Tamandua tetradactyla: one gene and its partners. The protein of the gene in region 1 interacts with the protein of each later gene in a biochemical or structural test. Links are inferred from orthologs where the notes say so. Each region holds a gene or a part of one and is shown in the gene's direction. Other genes may lie near its edges. The genes, in order: DLG1, KCNJ4, CYSLTR2 and TMEM178A.

What was found.
Region 2: the proteins of DLG1 (region 1) and KCNJ4 form a complex in vitro, tested with the Homo sapiens proteins (2 studies listed by BioGRID and IntAct, with this or other methods). The link is inferred for Tamandua tetradactyla from reciprocal best matches to the Homo sapiens genes DLG1 and KCNJ4.
Region 3: the proteins of DLG1 (region 1) and CYSLTR2 interact in a test that uses a peptide from one of them, tested with the Homo sapiens proteins (2 studies listed by IntAct, with this or other methods). The link is inferred for Tamandua tetradactyla from reciprocal best matches to the Homo sapiens genes DLG1 and CYSLTR2.
Region 4: the proteins of DLG1 (region 1) and TMEM178A interact in a test that uses a peptide from one of them, tested with the Homo sapiens proteins (2 studies listed by IntAct, with this or other methods). The link is inferred for Tamandua tetradactyla from reciprocal best matches to the Homo sapiens genes DLG1 and TMEM178A.

Annotation. Positions count from the first base shown.
Region 1 is NC_135336.1:16,123,584-16,130,940, forward strand, and holds the start of DLG1 (disks large homolog 1), read left to right. Parts: upstream 1-4,353; 5' UTR 4,354-4,827; exon of another isoform or gene 4,828-4,856; intron 4,857-5,015; exon of another isoform or gene 5,016-5,158; intron 5,159-5,264; 5' UTR 5,265-5,295; coding exon 5,296-5,314; intron 5,315-5,979; coding exon 5,980-6,111; intron 6,112-7,357. UniProt on the Homo sapiens protein: Essential multidomain scaffolding protein required for normal development. Recruits channels, receptors and signaling molecules to discrete plasma membrane domains in polarized cells.
Region 2 is NC_135333.1:30,788,873-30,795,394, reverse strand, and holds KCNJ4 (inward rectifier potassium channel 4), read left to right. Parts: upstream 1-4,653; 5' UTR 4,654-4,654; coding exon 4,655-5,971; 3' UTR 5,972-6,005; downstream 6,006-6,522. UniProt on the Homo sapiens protein: Inward rectifier potassium channels are characterized by a greater tendency to allow potassium to flow into the cell rather than out of it.
Region 3 is NC_135330.1:109,569,917-109,577,799, reverse strand, and holds the start of CYSLTR2 (cysteinyl leukotriene receptor 2), read left to right. Parts: upstream 1-4,866; 5' UTR 4,867-5,803; intron 5,804-7,883. UniProt on the Homo sapiens protein: Receptor for cysteinyl leukotrienes. The response is mediated via a G-protein that activates a phosphatidylinositol-calcium second messenger system.
Region 4 is NC_135343.1:10,996,064-11,003,604, forward strand, and holds the start of TMEM178A (transmembrane protein 178A), read left to right. Parts: upstream 1-4,525; coding exon 4,526-4,925; intron 4,926-7,541. UniProt on the Homo sapiens protein: Acts as a negative regulator of osteoclast differentiation in basal and inflammatory conditions by regulating TNFSF11-induced Ca (2+) fluxes, thereby controlling the induction of NFATC1.

The DNA of each region.
Region 1 (7,357 bases):
AGGTAATGTGCTACCCAATATAAATTTTGCACCAAAGAAACATCCCTTCCTTTGGTCTCACACAGAAGCTGATGTTTTAAAATACTGACCATATCATCCTTTACCCTGTATTCTGATTTACCTTAGTCCTACCCAAATCAGCTTCATTCATATCTCTAGTTGAAGTCTGATCACTTTTATAAATGACTTCTTAAAATTCTAATAGTGCTTATTCAAAATCCAAGTTTGTGCTTTCAGCCTAAAAAAGATAATCACACTGAGGAGCCCTACCCAAATTATTCCTAGTTTTTTTTTTTATTTGTTAGCATTTATTTCATCTGTATATAAAAGCAACTTTTTAGAGTTCACAAGCTGATTTCTATAAATGCACAAATTCACAATCTTTGGAATGATAAAGATAGAACTGTTGCAGAATGTCATAAATTATGATCTTTATTATGACATTATTTTAGATTAAGATATTTTCCTTCATCTTATTCAATACTATTTTACAGGAAGACTGATAGTGCAATGAAAAAACAACTATTGATTTATGTAAGATAAATAAAGAAAACATCAAAAGCTTCTTTTAAATAAGTTCTTTTGATGACAAAGAGGTGGCCAAAACTAGCTTACCATGGTTATAAAATTATTTGTAGTAAATCAAAGTCAATATGAATAGAATGCATGATTAGCCTATGATGTTGCTGCTAACATGAATGGAAAGGTAATAGAGTTGCAGCTAAGTCTAAGAAGAACCAAGACAATTTTTCACCATGAATTCAGGTCATGCCCCACTCTATATTTAGTCATTTGAGGCCTGTTGAGAAATAAAGGATGTCACACTTCTCTTATGAATTCTTTGTTTTCCACTATTCAGGTATCTATGAAAATACTGGCAATATAAAAACATTTATAAATGTAATTGAAAGTGTAACACAGGGAAGCTACCTATTTTTTTTAAACCTGTAGAACTGGACATCATAGGTCATTATCAGCAGTGAGGAACCTCCAGTGATTATTGAAAGATTCCCAAATTTCTTAATTGGCTCTTTTTTTTTTTTTTTTACATTTTTATTGATAGAACTTAACATACTAACACACAAACATTCTTAGCATACAAACATTTCATACATGGTATACAGTCAATAGCTCACAATATCATCACATAGTGTGCATTCATCACCATGATTTTGAACATTTGCATCACTCAGAAAAAGAAAGAAAAAGAAAAAAGAAAAACTCACACAGACGATATCCCTTTCCCCTCCCTCTCATTGACCACTAGTACCAAATTGTTCTTTGAACAGATACTTTCGGTCACCGGAGGGCTGAAGAGGCTATCTCATGTAAGGAGATTTCAGCACAATTCTTAATACTTTAGTAAGGGATCCTACAACTCTGCCAATAACATGAGTTCTTCAAAAGCAGAAAGGCAAATTTGGTTACACTTAGAAATTTATCTTTAGCAAAGATTACTAAATTTTTCTCTTCTCTCTGTTTCATAGAGGAAGATTGATTCTCCCTGAAATGCCAGTAGTATTCTTCCATCATGGAAAAGTGATCATTGTCCTTTGATATTTGTGTGCTGATGCTGTTTGGGAGCTCTTCTGTTTACATTACACATCTGTCAACTCAGGGGGTGGGACTAGATGGTGGCTAAGGGCCCTTCCAGGTTGAATGTCCCATGTATCTATGAATCCTCAAAGATTCTTGTCAGGATAAAGGAAGGAGAGAAGGAAGCAGAGTGTTTTAAAAATATACCTTTACATTAAAAAACCCAACTCATTTAGACATACCATATAACAAGGGTGTGGATATTCATTTCTTTGCGTTCAAAGGCTATATATCTGTTTACATCAAAATTGCTTTCATTGTTAAAGACATTCAAATATGTGATAAATACATAACAGACTATCCCATGACTTGTGCTTTGTTATATCTTATTCTTTATACTTTCTCAGACTCTCTCTTCACCCTCTTTCTCTTTTCTTCTGTCTCTGTTTCTGCCCCCCTCACACATTTACATTGTTGTTGTTTTATTAAAAAACAAAGCAAACAATGAACTAATGATCAATCCCAGTTCTATTACCAGCAAGCCGTGGTGTCCTAGACGAGGTTATTTTCTTCTTCTTCAGTGTTCTCTTCTGCAAAGTAGGAGATCATAACCAATAAATTTATGCCATAAGATGCTGTGAAACTAAAATGAGTTAAATTTGTCCTTTGAACAATGTTTGAAGGACTATACCAGTATAAAGTATGACTTTATAAGGGCGTAAATGAGAGGCGGTTAGTATTTCTACACCCACATGGGAGCCCATTAATTTACAATATAGAAATTTGAGGATGGATCTCTCATTATAAAGCAGGAGTTCAGTACCCAACCACCAAAGGCTAGAAGTTAGCAAGAAAGAAGTGTATCATATCCTCTTTTCTCCTTTTCCTCTTCCACCACCTCTTTGTTTTTAAGGCAGGACTAGGATGACATTGACAGCTCATTTATCTATTTGCTATTAGACCGTGGATCCTTAGCAGGACTTGGAACTTAAAATTTTTCCCCATTGCCTACTAAGTGAACATATTTGAACAATGAATGGCTTTGAGGGAGAAGGGTAAATTTCCCTCCCTCTTTCTCCTGAATTCTGAAGAGATTCTATTCTTAGGCTACATTTCTTCTTATCATTACATTCACAGTTCATCAATGACGTATTGATAATAGCATGTATGCCATCATTCATTTTCACTATTTTGAAAACCCCATCTCTTTATTTAAGCTTCTTGCTTTTAGGATCCCCGTTTCACTCTTCTGTCCTATTTTCTTTATGCAATATTGCTGTTACTCAAGCTCCCATGATGCTTGATCCAGAAGAGCATAACGATCTGCTGCCAATATACCAACCTATCCAGTTGTCCAAAATCACAGTGGAAAGAGTCCTGACTGGGGCTTAAGAGACTTGAGTTCTGGGGCTGCTCTGTCACAACCCTGTATGTCTTTGGGAAAGTTGCTTTCCCTCACAATTTCTTTATTTAAAATAAGAGTGGGTCTACATGAGCTCTAAAGTCATTGGGTTTTCCTGACAAGTTAGGATTCCAAGGTGCAATCCGAAAGTAAAACCCAGTGGTCAGTATACCTGTGAACAGCTGTTACAGTTACAGTACAGAAGGTTCCCTAGACTTCCCTTAATGATCCCATGAACACAGCTTCAGTGAAAGGTTGCTAGGTTTACTTGGAAGAGTCTTTGGTTTTGAAAGACAGGCTCTCCAGGTTTCTAGTCCTGTCACCAGCTCTGGTGACCCTGAGCAAATCCTCTCTGAATCTCAGAGAAGGGAGGTTCCTGTTATCCAGAGGAAGCTCGAAGACCTCGGTAACAACTTGAAGAGTTTTTTGCGATTCCCTTTCTTCAGCTCAGGCGGTTCAGCCTTCCCTCTGTTTCCTTCTGAGGTGTGTGCGAAACTTAAACCAGCCTTGCAGGCTGAGGCTGGCTCATTCTCTGAGGAGGTGGCTACAGGTGAGCTCTTAAAGGGGCTGGCGGAGCTTGGGTAATACCTGAGACTAGCGACTGGGCAGGGAAGCTGGCATGGAGGAAGTGAGAGAGTGAGCGAATGAATGAACGCATCTTCTCTACTTACCCTTAAATGCAGTCATACTTAGATGTAAACGTCCTCTGCTAAAACTCTCAAACTTTAATCGTATTTACCGATCTCCCTGTTTTGCAGCCTCTTCTTTAATTAAAAGCCTCCAAACTCTGCGGGGCGAAGAGCAACAGAAAAAAAAACAGTACAAAGTGGAGCAGTGTAAAGGTGGCACCCCGCCCTAACTCCTCCCCCCCATTCCGCTTCTAGTTCCCTCCCTTTCCCGCCCCCTAACATGGGTGGCACAGTCTGCTCCACCCCGAATAGGGATCCATCCTGCGGGGCGCCAGGCACTCTTATGTCGTGGAGTTGGAAACAGCACGTGTTTGGTGAGGTTAAGGGGTGTCTGGGAATGTGTGCCCAGGATCAGGTGTGAAGTCACGTCTTTCTTTAACGCCCCGACCCTTTCGGGCCTGACAACGACATTAGCTCAGAAACCGCGGGGCGCACCGGTGGGCTAGGGAGAAGTAAAGGCGAGCTCTTTCAAGGCCACCTAGACCACCTGTAGAGCCTGTACGTCAACTCCCTCGTCCTTAGCACCACTTCGGAGCCCGCCCCTTTACATGAGTAAGCCCACTCGAGACGCTCTCGGCGACCCCTTCGCGCTCCGCAGCTCCCTCCCCGCTCTCCTCCCCCTCCAACCCAAAGGTAGCAGCGCTGAGAGCCCAGAGCTCGGCGCGAGCCGCCTCCTCACTTCCCATTGGCTGAGAGCGCCGGGAGAGCAGTCACGTGGGGGCGCAGCAGTCCGGCTCCGAGGCCGCCATCTTGGCGGAAAGTTTGGGGGGAGAGAGATTGGGGGCGCGGAAAGAGCCGAGTTTCCGGGGGTGGGGCGGCCGGGAGAGGTGAGGGCGTGGGGGCTAGCAGGCCGCGGCGACTGAGGACGCGGCGTCTGCGGCCGAGGAGGAGGAAGAGGCTGCGGGAGTGCGGCCGCAGGCGGGAGCTCTTATCCTGTCCCCTCACCCCCTCACCTTAGCGACTGGAGACCCGGGCGGGGCGGGGGAACGTGGAGCCGGGCAGGGCTGGGGAGCCTCCTGGAGTCCAACTAGAGCGAACCCCGGCTCCGAGCGCACACCGCTCGCAGGAACTTTGTGGCCGCGCCGCAGGTGTGGGGTACAGCGGAGGCGTGCATGTGGGGCGTGAGGACGTCGCGGAGAGCGGCAGCTGCCCCGTCCGGCCCCCACTGGAGTAGCCCAGAGGAAACGGGCAAGGAGAAAGGCAAGTGAGAGCTTGGGGGCCCCAGCGGGGCGGGGTGATCAGCCCAGCTGGTCCCTTACTGGAGCGCTCCTTGGCCGCTGCTAGCTCAGGGGCCAACAAGGGTCGGAGCGCTTCTTGACCCCAAGTAGTAGATGGGGAGGCTGGATACTTTTGCCTAGTTGGGAGTGTTAATGGCCCCACGTCTAGGCATTTAGTGCTCTTTGGAGAGGGAGAAGCTTTAGAGAAGAATTTCGAAGAATGCACTTCTTTCTGCTCTTAATATGCAGTGGTACCTAGGATTGACACCGCAGGGTTTTGAGGTTCTTCCTTTCATTTGGGAAAACTTTGCAAGGTAGGCTTCTCAGATGGGGCTGGGAGGTTTTCGATTTAAGGGAAAGTGGTGGCTTAACCACGATTACTTTCTTTCTTTTTTTCCTTTCTGTTTTGTGTTTTTAAAGGTGCGTGCCCTCTTCCTGATTCTGGAGAACAATGCCGGTCCGGAAGCAAGGTGAGAATTTATTTCTGAACTCTCTTTTGGAGTGTCACCTTTCCGTATAGCTGTTTTGTGATTGCTGTGTTTTAAAAATGTTTGTGTAAGTTTGGTGAGACAGTACCGTCCTAGCTTTACTACTTGGGAAATCTAAGCTCACATCACTTCAGGAGATGGGAACACCTAAATGTTAAACTTTCTTCCTTGATATCTCTCTAAGCCATTAGAAAGGCAATAAATCCACCCCCTTAACTCTCCACAAAAATCTGCTTGCCATTCTTACTAAACGCTGTTTTTTGAGTGATTGTGAGATACTGATTAAGTACTAGTATTTTGAAGCATTTAAGATTTGGATTATGACAAATTGTGGATAATCTGCTTTTGTAAATCAGATAATCTGAAACTGTTGGTAATATTTTGATCAGATCTTTTACTGGGGCGGGTTACCAGTACACATTTATTACAGACTGCTCATCTTCACCTTTTTCCTATTGTGGAATAACATCTGTTTAAAAATTTTCCCGTCCTTCCAGGGAATATATGTCTACATGTACATAGTAAAGATTAACCTGGAGGATTCTGGGAACAGTTTGGATGTCTTGCAGAATCATTTGTCTGCATAGCTAGTGTGTAATAATTTCTTGTAAATATACAATTTTAACCAGGCTCTTTTTTTCTCTCAGATACCCAGAGAGCATTGCACCTTTTGGAAGACTATCGCTCGAAACTAAGCCAAACTGAGGACAGACAGCTCAGAAGTTCTATAGAGCGAGTTATTAACATATTTCAGAGCAACCTCTTTCAGGCTTTAATAGGTGGGAATTAAAAGTTTATTTATGACTATGTTATGTCTTAAAGCTTCTCTGAATTCAGTTATTTGAAACCAAAGAGAATGATATACTTGATTATCTATCAGACATTCAACAACTTGAACATCTTCAATGAGTTGTATATTTTTGATACACCAGTATCCTTTCCAAAAAATCTAATAACCAAAAATATTTCAACATGATTATTTTAGAGGCCTTTGATAACAAGGTTTATCTTTATTAAATGATGGAGAATTTGCGAATGTGTTTCAGGACCCAAAAGGTAGTTAGCTTTGTTCTGTATTTGACTTACATTTCTCTGGAGTCCTTGAAAATGTTTGAAGGGTTGTGTTATATTTAAGAACATTCATTTCCTTAATGTAGACATCAGTTTAAACTTTGTATTCATAGAGTCAGAAAATGGAAAATGATCTTAAAGGTGATCTTGTCTAACGATCATTAAATAATCTCTAAACCTCATTTTACAGAGAAGAAAATTGTGACAGAGTTTTAGTAAGTGTAACTTAAATTTGAGGTAGTGCATTGTTTCAAAGGAGAACTGGCCAGTAGTCAAGGGTCTTGAGTTCTATTTCTGATGTTACCATTAACTGAATGATCTTATGCAAGTCACTTAACCTTTTCTAGGCCAAAATTAGCTGTAGAATGCAGATGGTAAAGTAGAATGTGGTTTTTAAGCCTTTTTTTTTTTTTAAAGCGGCTAGATCCTTTTTAAAAACAAAATTTTTCGTTTCTTGACCAGTCCCTGATATATAGAACAAAGTGCTCTGTCTTTGACCCTCTCTTCTAGGTATCTTGAAAAGTTTGCAAATTATTTAACTGGAGAAGATTTATCCTTTCTAATTCTAAGAATAAATTTTTTTTTAAAATAATTAGTCACTGACTAGATAACTTTTAAATAAGATATAATACATCATTGCATTACTTTTATTTTCTCCTAATTCCCAATTAGAGGTGGCTTTATATTTATCTATTGGCAGAGTAATTGTTGGTGTGATTTGAAGAACTGCTTTCAAGTCAGTGTATCCTGTCAAATAACTCATTGGTAAATAGTTGCTCTGTACTAAGTATGCTTTAGAATAAAAATGATTTTTAAGAAGACCTCAGTACACTTGAGCACTTTTTAAAATTTAGCTTTATTATAGACTTTTAAAAACATATGCAAGAAAGAGAAAACAATATAATGAGCTCCATGTACTTGTCCATCCATCTTCAGAAGTTATCAACATTTTGC
Region 2 (6,522 bases), on another chromosome or scaffold:
ATAGCTGAGGCGGCGCCTGTCAGGGAGCTGGCACTCGCTCAGCATTTGTTCCTTAGAGCAGTTCCAGAGTGAGGAGTGATGGGTTCAGTTGGACCCAGGGCTGAGCCAGGCGACCTTGGACAAGTCAGTCACCTCCCTGGCCTCTGTTGTCCAATCCCATAACCATGAGCTCAAAGGCTCAGGCAGGGTGAAATGAGATGGACCATGGCCTGGCGGCCTGACCCCAGTGAAGTGCTCCCTGAGTGTAGGCCTCTGACTCTTCCTCCCTCCTCCCCAGGCCACAGGCCAGTCTCGGACCTCCAGGGCCCTGGTGAAATGCACCTCCTGCCCCATACTCCACCCCATACTCCGTTTTCCCTGAGCAGGGAGTGGGTGAGGGAGGGAGAGCTGCCCTTGACGCCTGCCTGGGGCACTGGGACCTGCTGCCAGTTTAAGGTCTCTTCTTGTGCCAAGGGAGTGAGCATGGAGGGTGCACTTAGTGTCATAATGTCATCAGGTGGCCTCCCCACCTTCTCTGGAGCCTGCTGGCAGGTAGGGTCTCTGGTCCCTCTACCCCTCGGGAAGGGACAGGAGCGTGATGGGGCCAGTGCCATGGGTTTCCAGGGAGGCCGTGCTGCCACCCTGGAAACCATTCAGCCACCCTGCTCTTGGCCTCAGTTTCCCTAGTTGTCAAATGAAGTAGGGCTCCCAGATTTTGTGGACAGTCACAGCACGGTAAACTTAAAAGAGAAAAAAAGTGGTCACTGGCAAAGCATCATCAATCTTTCATTTTGCCAAGAGAGTTCATTAAATCTTAAAAAGCAGCTAGCAGCTCCTCTCTCTGTCATTTCCTAAAGTAAAGACCATTTAACTCCAAAATAGAGTCTGAGAATGTAATCTTAGAGTAAAGGAGAGCAACTCCACTGTCCTTTTCATTTTGCCGTGGGCCAGCAGCCCACGCTCAGACTTTGAGGAACCCTGAGCATGAGCACACCAAACCTGCAACCCTGATAAAAGCCCCAGGAGGGAGGCTGGGCGGGGACAGAGCCTCACAGGGGCTGATGCATGAACAAAGACCAGGAAGGGGAAGTTCCTGTTCAAGGTCACACAGCAAGGCCTCCAAGCCAGGCCTCAGCCACCTTGCCTGAGCTTGCCATTATCCCTCTGACCATCATAGAAAAGGACAATTTAATTGTAGATGGCATAATACAGGCACCTAAACAACCAGGGCTTTTTTTTTTTTTTAAGTAAAAGCTTTCTGTTCAGGGGAGGGCAGTACTGAATTATTGTCGCTGCCTCACACCCCTCTTCCCTCTTCCCCCACTTGTGCCCCTTTCTCTCCTGCATGGTTCCCTCTGGCCATGCACCTGGCCGAGGAAGCCCGTGTGACAAACAAGAAGAAAACCTGACCCTCTCGAGCAGCTGTCACGCGAAAACACAGGGCCAAGCTCTGTACTTCCCACCCCTGTGGGGCGGCAGGTGAACTCCTCGTTCCTGCCAAGCAAGTCCAAGGCGACGGAGCGTTCATTGATCTGAGCCGGTCCCTGGGTGCTGGGAGGGCTCTTGCAGGCTGCGGCTCTTCTCAGGGATAGGGCTGCAACCGGCTCCTGCGCGGTGGAGGGGACAGGGCTGGGGAGTGCCGTGTGCCTAGGGGATGGGACAGGGCACCATGCAGCTTTGTGGTGCTCCGGGGTGGAGCCCAGCAGGCATTTCTGGGCGCGAGGATGTGTCTGGGGGCACCGGGAGCCCCAGCCGGCGCTGACCCAGGCAGCGCGGCCAGCACGGGGCCTGGCACACCACAGGGACTCAGCAAATGGTTGCTGTGACCTGGCGAGGAGGTGTGGGAGGTGAGGGTGCCGAACTGGTTCCCAGGGGGAAGAGATGTGGGGGCTGAGGGGGGCAGTGGGGACTTGGAGTCCAGGAGGAGTAGGGGAGGGACAAGGGTCAGGGTGGGTATTGAAGTTGGAAGTGAGTGTTGGGGTGAGGGTGGGTGTTGGGGTTGGAAGCGGGGGTGGGGGTCAGGTTGGGTCACTGGTGGGGCTGAGGATGGGGTGGGGAACCTCGGGGCCGGCCCCGGGACATGGGGCTTTAGCAAAGTCCAGTCATTTCAGCTCAATACTGGGGAACAGTAGGCAGTGCAGGTAAGGGGAGGCCCAGGGATGCCCCCTTGCCCTATGGCCATGAGGAGGGCATCTCCCTCACCCCCTCAGCCCCAGGGCCCCTGCCTAGAGGGTGGGAGCCCCATGAAGGACCCTCCCCCACACCACTAGACAAGGGCTCCCCCATAGTCCCCTGGGCTTGAATGAAACCTGTCTGGGCCTCAGTGTCCTCAGTCATTTAAGGCCCAGGCTGTCACTCTTTGTCCCCTGCCTCTCCTACGGACCTGCAAACAAGGGGTCCCGGCCCCTCTGGAGTGCCAGGCTGGGTGCTGGACTGGTGCCGTCTCTCCCCTCACCCCAAACCTCACGCCAGCCCTCCCCCCACCCCCAGGAGGGACGAGGATGAGGCTGAAGGGATATGCCCCTCCGGAGGGGGCCCGAGAGATCTGCTCTGGGTCCCTTCTCTGGCCGCGGCCCCCCTGGGCTTTGCTGGCCTCAGACATCAGGCGGGGTTGTGGCCTGAGTGGTCTCAGGCTCCCCTGGCCCTGACGGTCTGCAGTGCCAAGGGAGGCGTCAGAGCAGTGGGACAGAGCAGAGCGGGAAATCTTTAGGGAAGGAAGCCAGTCCTGAAACTATTTATACCACAGGAGGTTTCCCGGCCCCAACCCCCTCACAGGACTCTGGGCCTCTCTCTGGGGAGGTGACGGGAGGTTCCTGTGGCCTCCTGGTGAAGGTCGTGACCTCCAAGAGCCATGGGACCTGTCAAGTCTGCAGAACAGCAGTTCTCTCCGGTCCCATCTTCCAGATGAGGAAACTGAGGGTCAGAGAGTCAAGCAACTAGTCCAGGTCACACGTGGGTCCAGGATTGAGCCCAGACCCGGGGTGGGGCTCCTTCAAAGGGGAAAGGGAAAAGAACCCGGCGGGAGGGTGGGGGCAGGGCTCACTCCCCCCCCAGGCGGGAGAGGGAGATTCTCCGGGAAGAGGCAGGCTCTGAAGCTGTTGATCTCTAAATTACAGCGTTGGCGCGCACCGGTTGCTGCGGCAACTGAGTTGTCCTGAACGGGGAAGTGTATAAACATTGCCACAGATGCACAATTAGATCAGGAAGAAGAATAGGACAGAAAATAGAAACTTCCAGCCTTATATAATTCTGGGCCAAAATGCTACTTGGAGCCCAGGCCCGGGCCCGACCCTGCCAGCCGCTGGGGCCCGGGGCAGCGCCATCTCTCTCCCAGGGCCCGGTGGAAAGGCGGCAGGGAGGGCGGATGGTCTAACCCTCCATGGGCACAGCTGGTGCGCCTGCCGCGGTGCGCCTGCCGCAGCCCGCAGCCGGGCGGGTGAGGGGCCGCCTCCGCCTAAACAGCTGGGGACACTGACAGGCGAATCATGCCTGTCGCCTGCCCCCTCCCGCTCCCTCCCGGGCTGCAGGAAGGAAGGCAGGAGGGCGACTGGCTATCACCAAGCTCCCACTGTTGCCTTTTAGGTCCTGGGAGGTGGGGATTCTGATTCCCATTTTACAGATTTGGAAACTGATGCTGGGAGTGGTGCAATGAATGGCTTGAAGTTACACAACTGGGCGGTGGGTGTGTCTGCTTCCCCCACTCCCTGTCTCTCCACATTGCAAACCTGGAGAGTTAGACCCACCTGGGTTTAGATCTTTAACTTGCCAGCTGTGTGTCCTCGGGTGTGTCACTTTCCCTCCATAAGCGCGTGGTTTTCCACCTGCCACATGGGAATAGCAATGCCTCCTGCACAGGAACCAAGTCCCTCCCCTTCCACTGCCTCAACCCCCACCGTTGTCCTCTCCACCCATTACTCCTCCTGACCAGGTTGGAAAAGTGACAGGAATCTGGGGCTCTTGGGCTCAAAGCAACACGGGAGGGAAGGATCCAAGTGTGGCAGGTCCCAGCACTGTCTGGTAAGGCAGCACCAGCCACTGGTAGCTCCGGAGCATTTACATGTGGCTGGTGCAACTGGGGACCTGAAGGGTAAACTTTATTCGGTTCAGTTCAAATGTGAAGAGCCACAGGTGGCTTCTGGCTACCACGCTGGGTGGCGCAGGAGATTGTGAAGCCTCTGAGAGCTCCAAGAGGACAGAGGCTGAAGTCAAGTGGGAGCCAGTGCGTCCCGGGCTCCCTGTGCTGAGGCCAAGCAAGGCAGAAGGGTAGGAATGGGGCCAGTGGGCATCAGGAAGCTCCTGGAACAGCCGGCGTGGGAGGGCTGGAGCAGGCAGCAGGGAGGGGCTGGCACTGAGCCCAAGACCCCAGAGTCTTGGCTTCCTGGTCCAGGGGACCCCAATCCTGGAGTTGGGCCAGCCCCAGGGGCACTTTTCCCATCCCCAGAGCCACCCTGAACTGTCACATGCTGCCTGCTTGGGCAGAGGAAGTCCAGGTTCTAGTCCAAGCCCCTCCTCTTCTGAGTGTCTCTGTCGCCCCCCCCACCCCCAGCCTCAGTTTCCCTGGGTCTCTGGGAGAGAGCACCCTCCCCGGCAGCCCCTGGCTCTGCAGCCTCTCATGCGTCTGGCTTCTCCTCCCCAGGCCCTGCATCTCCCCAGGTGACCACGCCGGCCTCAGGACATGCACGGGCACAGCCGCAACGGGCAGGCCCACGTGCCCCGGCGGAAACGCCGCAACCGCTTCGTCAAGAAGAACGGCCAATGCAACGTCTACTTCGCCAACCTGAGCAACAAGTCGCAGCGCTACATGGCGGACATCTTCACCACCTGCGTGGACACGCGCTGGCGCTACATGCTCATGATCTTCTCGGCGGCCTTCCTGGTCTCCTGGCTCTTCTTCGGCCTCCTCTTCTGGTGCATCGCCTTCTTCCACGGTGACCTGGAGGCCGGCCCGGCGGTGGCCGCGGCAGGGGGGGCGGCCACGGCGGCCCCGAAGCCCTGCATCATGCACGTGAACGGCTTCCTGGGCGCCTTCCTGTTCTCGGTGGAGACGCAGACGACCATCGGCTACGGCTTCCGGTGCGTGACGGAGGAGTGCCCGCTGGCGGTCATCGCCGTGGTGGTCCAGTCCATCGTGGGCTGCGTCATCGACTCCTTCATGATCGGCACCATCATGGCCAAGATGGCGCGGCCCAAGAAGCGGGCGCAGACGCTGCTGTTCAGCCACCACGCGGTGATCTCGGTGCGCGACGGCAAGCTCTGCCTGATGTGGCGCGTGGGCAACCTGCGCAAGAGCCACATCGTGGAGGCCCACGTGCGGGCGCAGCTCATCAAGCCCTACATGACCCAGGAGGGCGAGTACCTGCCGCTGGACCAGCGGGACCTCAACGTGGGCTATGACATCGGCTTGGACCGCATCTTCCTGGTGTCGCCCATCATCATCGTCCACGAGATCGATGAGGACAGCCCGCTGTACGGCATGGGCAAGGAGGAGCTGGAGTCGGAGGACTTCGAGATCGTGGTCATCCTCGAGGGCATGGTGGAGGCCACGGCCATGACCACCCAGGCCCGCAGCTCCTACCTGGCCAGCGAGATCCTGTGGGGCCACCGCTTTGAGCCCGTGGTCTTCGAGGAGAAGAGCCACTACAAGGTGGACTACTCCCGCTTCCACAAGACGTACGAGGTGGCCGGCACGCCCTGCTGCTCCGCCCGGGAGCTGCAGGAGAGCAAGATCACGGTGCTGCCCGCCCCGCCGCCCCCGCCCAGTGCCTTCTGCTACGAGAACGAGCTGGCCCTCATGAGCCAGGAGGAGGAGGAGATGGAGGAGGAGGCCGCGGCCGCCGCCGCCGTGGCCGCGGGCCTGGGCCTGGAGGCGGGCTCCAAGGAGGAGGCGGGCATCATCCGCATGCTGGAGTTTGGCAGCCACCTGGACCTGGAGCGCATGCAGGCCACCCTGCCCCTGGACAACATCTCCTACCGCAGGGAGTCGGCCATCTGACCTCCGGCCCCGCCCGCCGCGCTCCCCACGAGCGACTGTGCCCGGGGCGGGGATGGGGTGGGGGTGGGGTGGGGAGGCACCCCCTCCCACACGCAGGACAGCGCTGGCCCTGGCTCCGTGGGCCTCCTGGAGGGAGGTGGGGGCTCCCAGGACTGGGGAGCCCCTTCCTGCTGACCCCAGAGCCCTGGCCTGGCCCAGAGCCGGGACGCCTGGTTCCCCAGCCCTTACCCACATGTGGCGCCGGGCCCCCCAGAGCCACCACCCTTTCCCCACTGACCCTTTTGAGGACCTCCCCCCCCACCCCCTGTTGCTCTCAGAACCTTGCGGAAGGCGAGTGGACCGCTGGGGTGGGGGTGGGTGGGCAGAGGGTTCGTTTGGGGGGAGGGGGGAAGAGGGGTGCGTTTCTTTTGCATGACTGTCGCCTGTTGCTCATGTCTTTCTTTTGTAAATACCTATAAATGGAGAGAGATGGAGGCACCAAACCCGCCATTTTTACCTGCAGGACAAGGAGATGTGGCCCCTCCCCGTGCACCGCCACCCCACCCGTCCAG
Region 3 (7,883 bases), on another chromosome or scaffold:
ACCAGCAGTTATTAACCATCTACTATGTGTAGTCTTAGCAGGCGAGGTGCTAAGACTACTTAGGAAAGTCTATGATCTAGTTGGAAAGAGGGACTAAAACAGGCATAAAAATGTCAGGCAGCTTCCTCTAAGTACCAAATAGTAAATAGTTAAGTTTGTCTACTCTTGATAGGGAAGTAGAAATTCCTTGAGAGGTTTATTTGAAATTATAGTCTCAGGAAGGCTTGCTTTCATGCAGTGTGAAATGTGTGCAACTGAGAAAGCCATGAATCAAAAAACTGCAGACTGAGAGAACTGGTAATTGTCCCCATCCCTATTCCTGCACCCCCACAATTCAAAAACTCTGACTCCATGCTACCTAGACAGAACAGTCATCACTCTCATCCTTCCCCTTGCATATAAATCCTACCCATTTTTTATTCCAACCTATTTTCAATAAATCTATGTCATAGTCTGCGTTTCCCCAAACCTTCTCCAAACCTTGCTTAGAAGGTAGTTGTGCTTTGGAGCTGTATGTATCCTAGATTAACATGTTCTTAAATTCAATCCATTTCTGTGAATGTTCATTCATTGTAAATAGGACCTTTTGATGAGGTTACTTCAGTTAAGATGTGGCTCACCTCAATCAGGATGGGTCTTAATTCGATTACTGGAGTCCTTATAAAGTGGAATGATTCAGACAAAGAGAGAGAAAGCCATGGGAAGCAAAAAGCTGAAGGTCAATGGAATTCAGAAGAGAAATGGGAGGCCAGGAGAGGCCCCATGTGCATTGCCATGTGACAGAGGAGCCAAGGGCCAAGGATCACTGGTATGAGTCCCAGAACTCCAGTCTTTGGAAAGAAAACATTGCCTAGTTTATGCCTTGATTTGGACTTCTCCTAGTCTCAAAACTGTGAACCATTAAATTCTCATGGCTTAAGCCAATCCATTGCACAGTGTTTGATTGAGCATCCAAGGAAACTAAAACAGTAATCAATGCTAATGGTGTCTAAGCTAATCCGTTTCTTTTGTGGAACTTTCACATTCTACTCAGATCATAATTTGCATGTATGTGTCTTATCCCAACAACTAGTTTTTCAGCTCCTTGCTAGTAGGCTCTGTTTGTAATTCATCTTTTTATCTACCCCTTCAAACTTCATACAATGTACTCCCTGTTGTTAGGCCCTGTGCTAAACACTTCATGTCATCAACTCAACTTTCAGAACAACTCCGCCATGTGGCGACATTATCATTATTGTCATTTCACAGTGAGCAAGAAGGCTCAGAGAATATAAGTCATTTGCACACATACACAGAGCTGGGAATCAGAGCCAGGCTGGCCCTAGGCTCAGGTCCACAGAACCTCCTAGCAGAGTATTCTGGAGTTTCTACTGGGTTCTCTCTGCTGGGGATTCTTTACCAGGGGCACCTGCTTCTCTCCCAGACCTGGTTCATGTCCCTCATTGCCTCTGGCAAGTCTTTTCTGCTACCTTTCCTTCTGGAAGAGCTGCCAGGTCATCAGTGTGGGGTGGAAGTCCACCTTCTGCTCCACAGGCAACTGGTGAACCCTAGTGGGGGCTGAAGCTAATCGAGGAAGGGACTCCTTTTTGTAATTCTAATTCTTAGAAGGCATTGCCTTATTGCAGCTTATATACATTCATCTGTAATACACACAGAGGCATCTGGGGTGTTAGCTGGGTGCTAGAACTGACCGTTTCTTTCTCCAGAGCCTTGCCTGCAGAGAGGCCTTTTGCCTCTCTCTCTCTCTTAAGTAATGAACCTCTTGAAGGTAGGACTCATGCCCAGTTGTCCTTGGATCCAGCAAGAGGACTGGTACAACTCTACTTAATGCCTATTGATAGAAGCATAGAAGGCTAATGGATAGAAGGAAGAATGAAGGAAAGGAGGAACATAGATACATTTCGTAAGGTTGACAAGATTCATTCATTCCTCTGTGCAATCAGCATAAGTTTATTGAGAAACCCACAGTATGAGCCATCTCAGAGTAGACAATGGGAAAACAAAGACACCTAAGGCATTCTGCTTCTGGCTTAAAAGGAGAAACTCATTTATTCTTTCCTACCTTTTAGTACAGAGCGGAATTACTTCAAGCTGATTCCTTTACATACCCCATGAGATTTCCTGGGGTCTCATCTTCCCAGGCTCCTAATTATTTAACATGTTCAGAACAGAGAGAGTCTTTTTATATACACGAGGGCCTTGAATTTATAAATACAAACGTGCTTGGAGTGTGGGAAATTCCACTTTAAGAACGACTTCTCGGCTCTGTGTTTCCCATCTGTTTGCTATCCTGCAGCGCTTTGCCTACCTACCTCCTTTTACCCAACCAGAACAGAACCCAGACCTGTCTCCCCAGCACAGCTCCCTTCTTTCCCCAGCCTCACCTCCTCCTTACCAGAAGGTAGTGCTAATTGTCCCCTGGGCTTCCCTCAATGTGAACCTAAAGGCTTGTCTGTGGAAAGCAAAGTGAATTGTCTGGTCTGGACAGCTCCTCCTGGCTTTGGTGCTTGGGATCTCCCTAATGACTTGAATGAAATAATGCGATTTCCTGGGCATTGTGGAATTCTGAAGTCTCCTGCTATTAAAGCTACTGCAAAGAATTCTTGAGAAACTAAATGCAAAAAGCAATTCGTGTACTTGTCTTCTTGGGCCATTAGCTTGTGTCATTTCTCTTGTGCATGCCCATTCTAAGAGGCTCCCGCTGCCTCCATGTTCGGGGCTGTTAAGATGGAGGGAAGTGTGATGCTCTAAGGAAACAGTGATGCCAGATGAATGTGAACATCATGCAGATGCTAAGCCCTGCGATGGGGAAACCCATCGTTCCTGTTCATAAAGAAACGTTTTCTAATAGGGGTAAGATGAATTTGGAGTGTCAAGGGCATTTGTGGTTTGTATTCCTAACATTTGCTAATGGTTGGAAATTGCATAGTTACTTAGCATCTTTGAAATTTAGAGGAAACTTAGCTTCTTATCATTTAGATGTCATCAAATGTATCTTGCAATGGTTGCATGAGGTATGGGTTTAGAAGTGCCAGCATGGGCCTGGCAGATGGGAGGTGCCCAGCAGCTGACTGTCATGATATTCGAAAGTGTTGGACACGAGCTCCTCATAGAGCCCCTCACAGAGCTGAGAAGCTCGTTGGAGGAGCCCATCCCTCAGGTCACGAAGGCTTTGGTATTATAGATGTCAGAGTCCAAGCAGGAACACAGAACCCATTCTGAATGTTTAAAGCAGGAAGTGTTTGCACGGATGCTGAAAGAGCTGAGAGACCAACAGGAGAAAGTGGGATGCCCAGAGACTAGCAGAACACAAGCCATGATGAGACCCAGGCTGGAGGGACAGCTGACAGAGCTGGGGCACCAGAGGAGACACAACTGTCTCTCAGAAATGTTCCCTGAAAAGCTGATGAGAAAAAAATACCTGAACTTCTTTCCTCCTTCCCTCATCATCCCACCTCTTGTCAGTTCTTTCTGACCAAATCTAGCCAGAAGCTGGGCCCATAGGGAAATCTAAGCTATGCAGCCTTTAGGGGTGAAACCCCACATGGCCCCAAAGAAAGCAGAATCGAAGTAAAGCAAGGAACATATCTCAGGACCAGCAGGCTCAGGCCTTGGGCCAGCCTGGTGGTCTTTAGAACTTCAGGGATTGAGGAATCAGAGGAAGCAGTCTGGTTCAGGGTCTTCAACTTGTGTTATATTGTTTCCAACCAATCTCCCCTCCACCTGTCCTGTCCCCCACCTCCCCCACATCTCTCTTTCTACATGTTCCTGAGGTTTGGTGCTCAAGCTGAGTCATTCTTTGTGTCTACAGATTGGAAAGGAGGAGGGGCAGCAGCCCTGCTGGGGCCATCACTTCCCTCTGTTGTTGCTACTACTGTTTAAATACCTGAGTGCATGCACAGGGAGGTTGGAGAGGGGATGGATTCTGCTTACCCATGGCTTCTGGGACAAAAAGCCTGGTGGGCTCTCCTGGGGATCCCAGGATGCTATGGCTCTGAGCCTGCCCTTGGGGTATGGCCTTAAAGGAGGTTGCTCTCTGGGACCACATCCTTTAGAGCTTAAAATTCTGGTCTCAAACTCAGACTTACACCAGTAAAATAGAACACTCTTTAGGATTAATTTTTGTAGCTCATTTGCCATTTTTCTCACGAGTCTCTCCTTCACCAGCTGTGTTAAACTTCATTTATATAAACTCCTTTCATACATTCTATTATTGAAACTAACCTAGAGCCATCCATAGCAATATATCATTCTAAATTTGGGAAAAGCATCGTGCATCAAGAGATTAAAAAAAATAATAATAACATCAAAGTAGTTTACTCCCCCAACTACGGTGCATCTCCTGATGGAATATAGTTCAATCATTAAATATTTATGCCGATATGGGAAAATGTTTGTGTTACAGTGTAAATGGGAAAAGCACAGGATGGAAACTTATGTCAGAAAAAGGAAGTAACAAATGAGCCAACAATGGCATAGAAAAATGTCAAGAAGAGAAAACACTAAAATGTTGTCTTTGGGGATGGCACTATGATTCTTATACAAAGAGACTAAGTTTACCCCTTGATCTTAGGGACTGGTCTTATCTTTAAATCATCTTCCCTTCTCTTTCCCCAGAGTCTTTTGACACTTAACATACAGGAAGCTCATGGAAGTGTCCCCAAGGCATCAAATTGCTTCCAAGGCCACACAACCAGCCATGGCTGAGGCTGGACCTGATTCTCTTGAGTCTCTATTCAGTTTTCTTCCCTGGCCACCTGCCACCTTGAGTAGGTGACACCGAGTCAGGAGTGAAGACGCCCCTCACCTGCCCAGACTGAAGGGCAGCCTTGAGGTCACAATGGACAGGACTCATGACAGCACCATTGAGGCACTGGAAGAAATCAGAAGGGAGCAATGAGGAATTACAGATCTGAAAGTAACCTGGTCCATCAGATTCCCTTCTGTATGCTGCATTTCTCTGGAACTCTAATTCTGTGGACTTTTTCCCGTGTGATACTTCCAAGTCAAATTAGATAAATTGTTGATTCATTTCTGTGCTCCCTCAGGATTATCTTCTTTTTAACATCGTTGACTCTTTGCCTATCTCCTCAAAAGCCATAACATTTTCCTTCCATCCTGGCAAATCTGATGAGATTTCATTGCTTTATATAATGTCTCAGTTGTACAAAGAAAATGCTTCTAATGGCTACATTTCAGTGAAGTTATTTCCTATGGACTGTTCTGGAAATAAAAGAAAGTCTTAAAGCGATTTTTCCTTTCCCCAATGTTCACAGATTTAGAAGTAGAAAAATAAAGAGATTTTTTCCTCAGCATCCTTTTAACACTCTTGAAACTAATGTCATGTTCTTCTGGACAACCTGATGTGCGAGAGTTAGTTATGGGGATGTGGAGTTGAATATTTTTTTCATTTTGTTTATTTTAATGAAACGGACATTAGTCTTTGGGAATTGGAGAGGAATGAAAGCCTCCTGCGACTTATTGTGAAATGAAATTTCTTTCAAGCTCTTTTGTCCAAAGATGAGATTGGTAAGGTCATATGCATACAGTATGGATTTTCAATTGGGTTAATCAACTATTAGAACCTCAGAGCAGCAGCCTTGCCCCCAGCCTCATCTCCACAGCTCCATGAAGAAGCAGCACTGGAGAACTATTCCCCTCACTTCCTGCTCTGTAATGTGAAGATGGGATCACAGCACCGCCTTTGCTGTGGTCATTGTCAGGAAGCTATGGGGCATGCATGGAATGGTTCCAAGAGCTGTCTTCTTCATCCTCACAGCAGCAGTGGACCAGAGCTTGCAAGGTAGATCTACTTTTTATTTACCCCAAATTTCAAAGTTGTTGGCACTTGTGGGAGCTACAGGTATGGCTCTTGGCAACAGGCCAGGGTGAGGAATGGGACAAGTTGCGAGCATCAGAGATTTCCAGGGTTGGAGGAGACCTCAGATGAGGGTGTTGGCAGAGTCACTGGGTCTGTAACCTTTGGGCCCATAGAGGACAAAAAGTTAGGCGAAGGGGCAGGATGGTCAGGTGTTATGGGTTGTTGGCGAGATTTTCCAGACACTACCCTGGTTCTAGGCCTAATGAGACATTAACTAGCTGTGTCCCCTTGACTATGCATCATGAAGGAACTGGAACTAGATAATTTTTAAGGATTATTCCAGTCTCAGGAAACAAATTTCAAACAAACAAAGCAAAATAAATAAATACATACATGCATACATAAACTTCCTGTTTTATTTTTGAGGAAGCATTTGCTTATTTCTTTCCTACACAAATAAACTTACTGTTTACTATTCAGTGTTCCTCCCAGGCCCTAAAATAGTGACTTTTATTTTCAGAAATAAGCAAATAGTTCAGTTTGGCTGGGGCATAGGAAGAAAGCAAAATGGCAACTAATATGAAATGTGACCAGGCCATACATGCAGACCATCTCTCAGATTTGGGCATGAGGAGCCACATGCGTGGCCCATTTTTTAGAGAAACACTTTGCTGGGCTTCCTGCAGTCCTGACCCACTGCCAGAGGTTTGGGAGTCTGGGGCTAAGAGGGGTGTCCCCTTCCCCCCAACGTCCCTTCCTATACTGTGCTCTGGATACCTGAGTCTTCCCACATCAAGCGTTCTCAAGGGCTGTGTGGCCTCTCCCTTAGGTGTCAGAGCCTAGGATTTGGATAGCTCCGAATTCTAGGGGTAGCCAAAGGTTCTATTTACAGGGGTGGCGTTCTGCATGTAAGGGTTGAAATGTCCATGTGCCTAAGTATGAGGTAGTTCATAGTGCCTAAAGGAGCCAGGGGTTGGAAGAAAATAGGCGCAGTCTGCGGGCTTTGCCAGGGGCTGAAGTCAGCGTTTCGGATGTGGTATGGTCCAGCCAGAACTCTAAGAAGTCTGAGAATTCTAGCCAAATATATTGCATGGAGTCCAATAATTTGCAGAGAAATATATCATATTATGTGAAGCAGTGATAGTGATGAGCACTATATAGCAAAGTAAAGCAAAGTAGGGGGGTAGAGTGCATGTGTGCATGTGCATGCGTGCGTGCGTGCGTGTGTGTGTGTCTGTCTGTGTAAGCTCTTTTAGGAAGGGAGGTCAGGGAAGTTCCCTCTGAGGTGGCAACATTTAAGCGGAGACCTGAATGAAGTGAGGAAATAAATGCAAAAGGGCATCTCAGCAGAGGGGCCCAGTGTAGCAGAAAGAAGCTTGCCTGGCTAGCAGGAGTGATAGATGAGTTGTATACATAGGAGGAGACCAACTGAGTCTTTGTAGACCATGATAAGGCTTCTTATTCTGAGAATGATGGGAAGTCACTGTAGGGATTTGAGCAGAGGAGCCACATAATCTGATTTTTTTCATTAAAACTTGACAGTAGAGCAGCCAGGGTGGAAACAGAAAGACAGTTGGGATGTTACTGCAGTATTCTGTTCCAAAAATGAAAAGAGTTTGAATGGAGATTGGTTCTACCATTTGCAGGTAGAACAAAAGAGATTTGTTTGATGGCATGTGGCTAGTGGGAGAAAGAGTAGTTAGGGATTGTATTAGCTAGGGTTCTCTAGAGAAACAGAATCAGCAGGAGATATCTATAAGATTTATAAAAGTGTCTCACACAACTGCAGGGAATGTAAAAAAAGATCTGTAGGGTGGGCTGTGAGCTGGCAGCTCCAATGAAGTTCCTCAGCGAACTCTCAGGAGAGGCTGGCTGGCTGAAGCAGAAAGAATGATTGCCTCTTCTGCATTCTCCTTAAAAGCCTTCCAGTGATTAGATTAAGTATCACTCATTGCAGGAGACATTCCCACAGCATCTGCAATCGGCTGTGGATGCAGCCAACATGCTTTTGATTTAAGTCCATGAAATGTCATCACAGCAACAGACAGGCCAGCGCTTGCCC
Region 4 (7,541 bases), on another chromosome or scaffold:
AAAGCAACCGCTCTGTACCAGGTGCTCCTGTTGCATTTTGTCCCTGCCTCTGCCACAGCACTCATCCTTGCTACCCCACATGGTGGCCTCTTGCCTTTTTGTCTTCTTCCTCCATTAACCTAAAGCTTTCCAAGGATACAGCCAGGTCTTATCCATCTTGGCATAACCCAGTGTGACCTAGTACAATAGTTTTTACCCTAGAGGTGTCCAGTATATGGTGTTGAATTAAAATGAAATTGTTTTAGGAGAAAACATCGAGAGTGATGACTTTAACAAAAGATACCTCAAATATTTGCAGAAGAAATGACATATTGTAGATCAACCACATAATTGCCAGAAGAAAAAAAAATTCTGTTATTACTGAGAAAAATTTTCACTCTTTATGAAAACCCGTGTGTGGTTTTGGTTAGACTGCACAGTCTGAATTCTAACGAATCCAAATGTTTGAAATAAAGTAGACACTGCTTTTGGTCTCAGCACTGGGCATAAAGGGTGAAGGTCCTTTTTGTCTAGTATAGGTATGTCAATAAATCACTGCCATTGCTCGTGATAACTGGAAATCTTTGTGTGTGTGTGTGTGGGTGCACGTGCGTGGACCTTGTTATAAGGAATATATTTACTTAAGGAATTTCATGAATGTAAAGAGAAATAAAATGGATGTCATAAAGCATTTAGATATTAGGGTGTGTCTGGAGAAGGGAAAAGCATTTTGTTTTCTAAATATTTAAACATGGCCCACAAATCGGCTGGGATGTTTAAATGCTGTGGGAATTCTGCAGTAAACAAAGAAGGACTCTCGAGTAATATAGTGGATCTTCTCTTTAGCCTAGAAAGGGGGGTTGGAAGCTGAAGGGTAATACAAAGTAACATTTGAGGAAGATGCATTTGGCAACAGTAACCAGGATAACTACAGGAAGGGCTGATCTGGAATTAGAGGGACCAAGGAAGAAGCTGTAATAGTAATTCAGTTGTGAGATAACAAAGGCATGGCAATAGCCAGGGATAGAAATACAGAAAAAGGAATGGATAGAAAAGAGATTTCAAAGGAGAAATCCCAATGAGTTTGTGAATGAGATAGTTAATTCTATAATATTGGTTCTGAGAGACTTGAGTGACTTGTCAACAGGAGAAAGAAGAGAGAGACAGAGGGAGGAGAGAGGGAAGGAAGAAAAGAGGGATGGAGAGAAAGACAGAGAGGGAGAGAGAGACAGGGAGAGAGAGACAGGCTAAGAGGGACAGCTGGACCACAGGGAAATATATGAGTCTAGTTTGGTCATGTTGAGTTCAATAATAAGGTAAGACAAGTAGAAATTCTCTGCCTCCATTCCTGTCATTTTAGGACATTGTTGTTCTCTGAGGAATGCACTGGGGATATTAGGTCTGGAGATAGAAGAGAAATTTAAGACAATCGAAAAGCAGGCAAAGTTTGAAAATGTTGAGATCATGGAATAGCCAAAGCTGAGACGTGCCAAGTGTTCTGGCTGGATATTTGATCTCACATCGTTTTGACTCCCTGCCAGGCTAACTTCCCTCATCCACAGTATGCTGCCTTAGACTTCTGCTTCAGCTCATCAGAAGTAGCTAGCTGGTAGTCATTAGAACATGTCAACTTCATGATTTAAAAATGCAGGAAAAAATACTCATTTTACAGTGGTCCAAAATACTGAAGCCTCCAAATTTGTGCAGTAGAAACATATCAAAGAAGTATATTCTGAATGTAATGCCAGTGTAATATTGCTGATATCCTTTTGGCAAAGTTTAATTCAACCTTTGAGAACTAACTCAGAAGTTACTGTCCTATGTAGTCTCCTTGACTTGCCCATGCAGCTGGTCATTTCATCATCTGAGTTCTATAACACACTGTTCCTATTTCATTATAGAATTTGCCTGTCTAGGTGTCTGTCACACGCTACTAGATTGGGAACATCTTAAAAATGGGATCCATTTTTCATCTTTGCATTCCCAAGCCCCTTACCTAGTGCAGGTGAGTGGGTGATATTTCATTGTTGGAAATATTCAAAAGTAGAAAAAAATTAAAACATGAATGAAAGCAATGTGCAGTTGCTGTAGCAAAGCCTGTGTGCACATCTTATGGCACATCACTGGCGAGGGCATTCATGCTGCACCAGCAGAGGCAGCGTGCTCATTACGCACAGCTGGCCCATATTTGTAACATGTGACATTTTTTATGAAATACTGTCAAGAGTAATCCATCATATAGTAACCTTTGGATTATATGCCGAGACTGGTTTTAAACACAAATATAAATGAACTTCAAGGATAATGCTATTTTCTAAGAAGGTTATGATCAAAGACTTCTGACTAGGAAAATGAGGCAGAATACTATGTTCTCTTAAATTAAAACAGAAGTGCCTGAAAAAGAGGTTTCTTTCTAGCTTCAGGTGGAGACAGGATTACTGTATGTGGATGATCAGGGGACTCTGAAATTTTGAATATCTGTTTCTTGCAGTACATCCATGTTTGAAAATGGGGGTGAGGACTTGCTAAAGATTCCTTGGACTTGTAAGATTTGCAATAACTTTACCTCAAAAGGATAGTTTAAAATAAAGGGACACGTGCTAAGTTGAGTGAATGTCAGATGCCAACTGTGAACTCATGGTTAAAGGTATTCTCTCTGGGTATATCTATAAAGATCCAGGATTTTACACATATTATAGAGTATAAATAAAAGAAGGCTTCTAAGTCTCATCATTTTTGTATAAATCCAGATAAGACTTATCTGATGAGTTTAGCATTTCCTGCAAAGGAAAAGCTTATCGGTGAGAGGAACGCTGAAATTATGATTCTTTGTCTTCCTTAATTAGACTAGACCTCACCATAGATCTTGCTGAAGCTGTGAGAAAACCCAAGCAATAATTCACATTGTCCAGTCAGCAGAAATGGGCACCAGGGTCCACTATGACTGAAAGATTTGCTAAGTGATCTATCTGGGAACTGGACAGCTCACAAGGGGGAAAATTTGTCTTCTTTGGTAACATACCCTCTGAGGATGCTGAACACAAACAGCAATAAAAATAAATCCGAGCAAGATTCTTATACCACCTTACAGATGTCATTCAAGAGGAGATATATAAATCACATTAATGCCAATCAGTGTGGGGCACTAATTAATATGTCCCATTAAATCGTGGAGTAATGACATTTAGCATCTAATGAATGCCTCATAATCTCTTGGTCATTAATATTCCATAGCATAAGAACACAAGAATTGCCATTTCTGGCTTCATCCAGCATGGTATTCTCAGACAGTGGTGCCAAGGACCTGAGTGGCACAGAGTATCTTACCTCTGTTATAAAGACCACCCAGCATCAAGCAATGAACTCTTTCAGTCCCTGGGTCCTAACATTTCCTTTTTAGCAAATGTGAATCCGCCTGCCATTCGCAGAAACCACAGCTGGAACTGCCAGTGCTGTGATCGAACAGGATGGAGCTAAAATGTTGACTTCCGTGCGAAGCATGGCTTGCTTGTTGGCCTACCCACCCAGTCCATGCAGAAACTTGCACAGAAGAAAATCATTACTTTGATTTATTACTGGAGGTTTGCCTTATTCAAAGGCAATAATCACCTCACAGAGCAGGGCCACTGCAAGGCTTACTGACCCCGAGCGCCTCTAGACCGTCAAAGAGGCCGTCACTCTGGTGCCAGAGGGAGGTGGTCAACGGAGGAGCAGTCCATCTCAGAGGAGGCTGAAATGAAGTGGAGACAATCGCTGGCCGTCGTAGAGCTCCGGTGACCCTCGGTAGGCTTTTCTTTCAGAAGAGGGGCTGGGCAGAAGGAATGCTGAGGGGCTGCCCTGGGCGAGTGGGAGGGACAGCGACAGCAATGGTCGCGGCCAGGGGTCCCAGAGGCGGCAGGAGAAAGGGTCCTTAGCCCCGGATCAAGACCCCAAAGAGTCCAGCGCCACGCGGCCCGCCCTGGAAGGGATTGCCTCCTGCCAACCAAAGGGGGCGCGGGCCGAAATCAACTGAACAAGTGACAAGCTTGAGTCTGCTGAGGGTGGGTGATGTCTTTTAAGGTCATCGGAGCGAAGCGAACAGGAGGCCGTGAGCTCCCGGGTAGGTGGGGGAGACAGAAAAGGGTCACGAGTCCAGGAGAGAGGGACAAAAGAAGTGGCAAAGGGGAGAGAGAGTTGACGGAAAGTGGAGGCAGAGGAGAGAGTGAGGGCGGCCAGGGGGTCGCGGGGGAGGAGGGCGGGCCGGGAGCTCTGCAGGTGGGGAGAGGGGCGAGCAGCGCGGGCGGGGCCCGAGGTGCGCACGGCGCGGCAGGGGGCGGGGGCAGGCGAGGGGGGCGCGAAAGTGAGCGCGGCGCGGGGCAGCGCGGGGAGACGCGGGGCCGGGCGGGGAGGGCGGGCGGAGGCAGGGGGCGCGGGAGCCGGCGGGGCCGGGCGCGGCGCGCGGGGAGGCCGGGGGAGGGCGGGCGGCCGGGGGTGGGGGGGTGCGGGCGGGCGCGCGGCGGAGCGCCGAGGCCAAGTGCATTGTGTCTGGCGGCGGCGCGGGAGAGCCATGGAGCCGCGGGCGCTGGTCACCGCGCTCAGCCTCGGCCTCAGCCTCTGCTCCCTGGGGCTGCTCGTCACGGCCATCTTCACCGACCACTGGTACGAGACCGACCCCCGGCGCCACAAGGAGGGCTGCGAGCGCAGCCGCGCCGGCGCCGACCCCCCGGACCAGAAGAACCGCCTGATGCCGCTGTCGCACCTGCCGCTGCGGGACGCGCCCCCGCTCGGGCGCCGGCTGCTCCCCGGCGGCCCCGGGCGCGCGGACCCCGAGTCCTGGCGCTCGCTGCTGGGGCTCGGCGGGCTGGACGCCGAGTGCGGCCGGCCGCTCTTCGCCACCTACTCGGGCCTCTGGAGGAAGTGCTACTTCCTGGGCATCGACCGGGACATCGACACCCTCATCCTGAAAGGTGAGCGGCGGCCGCGCCCCGCAGCCTGGGCGCCAGCGCGTGGAGCGCAGCCCGCGGCTCCCCGAGGGCGCGCGGGTCCCTGCGGCCACCTCCCCCGCCGCGGCTCGGCGCTCAGCTCCCGGCACATTCTTTCATCCTTCCTCGCCGCCTTCTCTGCCCTTCTCCCTTCCTTCTTTCCCTTTCCTCCCTTCGACTCTCGGTCTCTCTCCCTCTTCTCTCTTTCCGTGACCCCCTTGTTCCTCCCGTATCTGCTCCTCCTCATCTTCCTTCCCCGTTCCCTCAAGTCCGTGCCTTTGCACAACCCCGTCCTCCCCTGCCCCCTTATCTTCTTTCCTGCGATTGTCAACCCCCTCTCCTTCCTCTCCTTGGGTCCTTCGCTGTCTTTGTAACCCGACTTGGAACGCAGGTGTGTGTTTCGTTGACGCTGCTTGAGGGTAGCAATCAAAAAGACTGAACCTTCCCCAGCCGGGCTCCTTCGCTCAAGTTATGCCTTCCTTTTAGAAATGACCCTTGGAAGAAAAGTGGTGCAAACCTCAAAAGAGGGGAAAGGTTTTTCTCTTGCATCGTGCCGGGGTTGGCAGCATTCGTCTCAGCTGGGCGGTCAGGTGTACTGGGGAGCTAAGAAGGCCCGAGGAGCCTTCCTGCGCACACCCGAGGTGCAAGGTGTGTGTGTGTGTGCACTTGACCTTAGGTGCCCTTACTTTGTCAGTTGAGGCGGCTGTGTGCAGATAGGACACCGGCTTTTTTTCAGCCTTCCTGGTTAAATCCCTCGCACCGATCGGTGTCTAGGCGTCTCAGCGGGAGGGGGGAGAGAACCTGCCTAAGCTCTTTAAAATAGGGCTTTCCAGACTTCCACACGTTGTTTCTATAGAACCACTCTGTCTTATGGCTGTGATACCTTGTATGGTTGCTTTTATTGTTTGTTTTGTTTGTTATTTAGCACTGAGTTGTAGAGTATCAATCTGCTCTCTAGAATATATCCTACACCTGCCTCCCATGCCAGTAAGCAGATAGTTTGAAATTTTCTTTTATAATCTCATGCATGTAAAAATATTCAATGTAGCAGTCTGGTGTGTAAGGCTTCCTTCTAACTTTCAGAACTTGACCCTTAATATAAAATGTTGCTCTCTGAGATAAAAACTTATTAAGCCTCCTTTCCCTTGGACTTATTTTTGCAAAAAAGGAAAAAAGTCCCAGATCAGTGCATTTTAATACAGTAGTTGTTCAGGAGCTTAAAAGCAAACGAACAGATTTGTGTTGAATTATAGCTTGGAGTGAAATTACATAGAAAGGAGGGGTTAATAATATGTTGGCCTACGGAATCTTGTTAGCTGGCATTTCTTCATTTTTCAAACATGTCAACTTCCTTCTATCCGTGGCTAGCTCAGTTGGGGACTGCCATCCAAAATCTGTCTATGCATGGAAGGATTCCAGCACTTTTAGGGGAATCGGATGCAGTAACCTTCCTTTGGGAAGTGCGCCTTTTTCTTTTCTCTCCTACCTTGTATCCAAACCTGATTTCTCCTCAAGAAGATACTGCATAATTAATTCTGATAGTAGCATAGTACATGAGCAAACTGTTAAAGCTGAATTTGGAGGCTCAGTTATGGAATGCTCATTTAGGCAAGGCAATTTTGAAAGCTAAGCAGAGTAGTCTGTCTTTGGAAATGACAGAGCTGCATTTCCTTACACTCTTTCTTTGCCTAGAGTGTATGATTGCATGTAAATTGGATATAGAGTAGTGTCTGGAAGAAGCAGGGCAGACTCCAACCAACCCAACAGCAGGGGAGGGACTTCACAAGAGACTGCACAGTCCCCACCTCTGGGAGCTTCATGGCGAGCTGAGGTGCATATCTCCTGGGCAGTCCAGAATCAAGTCATCTTGGAGGTAGAAGGTACATTAGAGGTACATCGAATTCAACCTCCCATCCATTGCTCAACTCCCTTCTACATCTTTCTGACAGATGGTTGTCCAGCCCAGTACTTCCATAAGACAGAACTCACATACAATTTTAAGGAACTAGATTGTATAAGTCACAAATGCATATTTTAGATTAAAAAAAACTCAGGTTTATAATATTGATGGTATTTAGCCAGTTCTTTGTGTAGAACTCTAAAGAGGTCTAGGTTGTAATCAGAAGACCCGTGGGCTCCTTTGCTGGCTCTGCTGCTGCTGCTAAATGGCAGTGTGTCTTCAAATGAGTTGACCAGGCCTCCTGGACTTTCAGTTTCTTGTACTGGAGAACTAGGAGAGCTGACAGTTCTTTAGGATTTTTTTAGTTCTAAAATCTATCATATTTGTAATAATAACCATGTAAACTTAATTTCTTGGAGAGTTAATGAGCTGATGCTATTGAGAAATGAGGAGTTTAGAGGAAAGGATGGACACCAGTACATTAGAGGATCACAATTGGTTGCTTTGGAGATGGCTAAAATGCCTCAGGTGCTTTTAACATTGCTGCAACCCTACCTTGGGCTAGCTACATACCTCTGCTGGGACTCAGTTTCAGCATCTATGAAATGAATGGGTTGGCCCCTAGCAGCTTTAAAATTCTGTGATTTTATGAATAATCCGAGGAAGGAAGATGCCACTAACATTTTCCTTTCTCAAAAAGA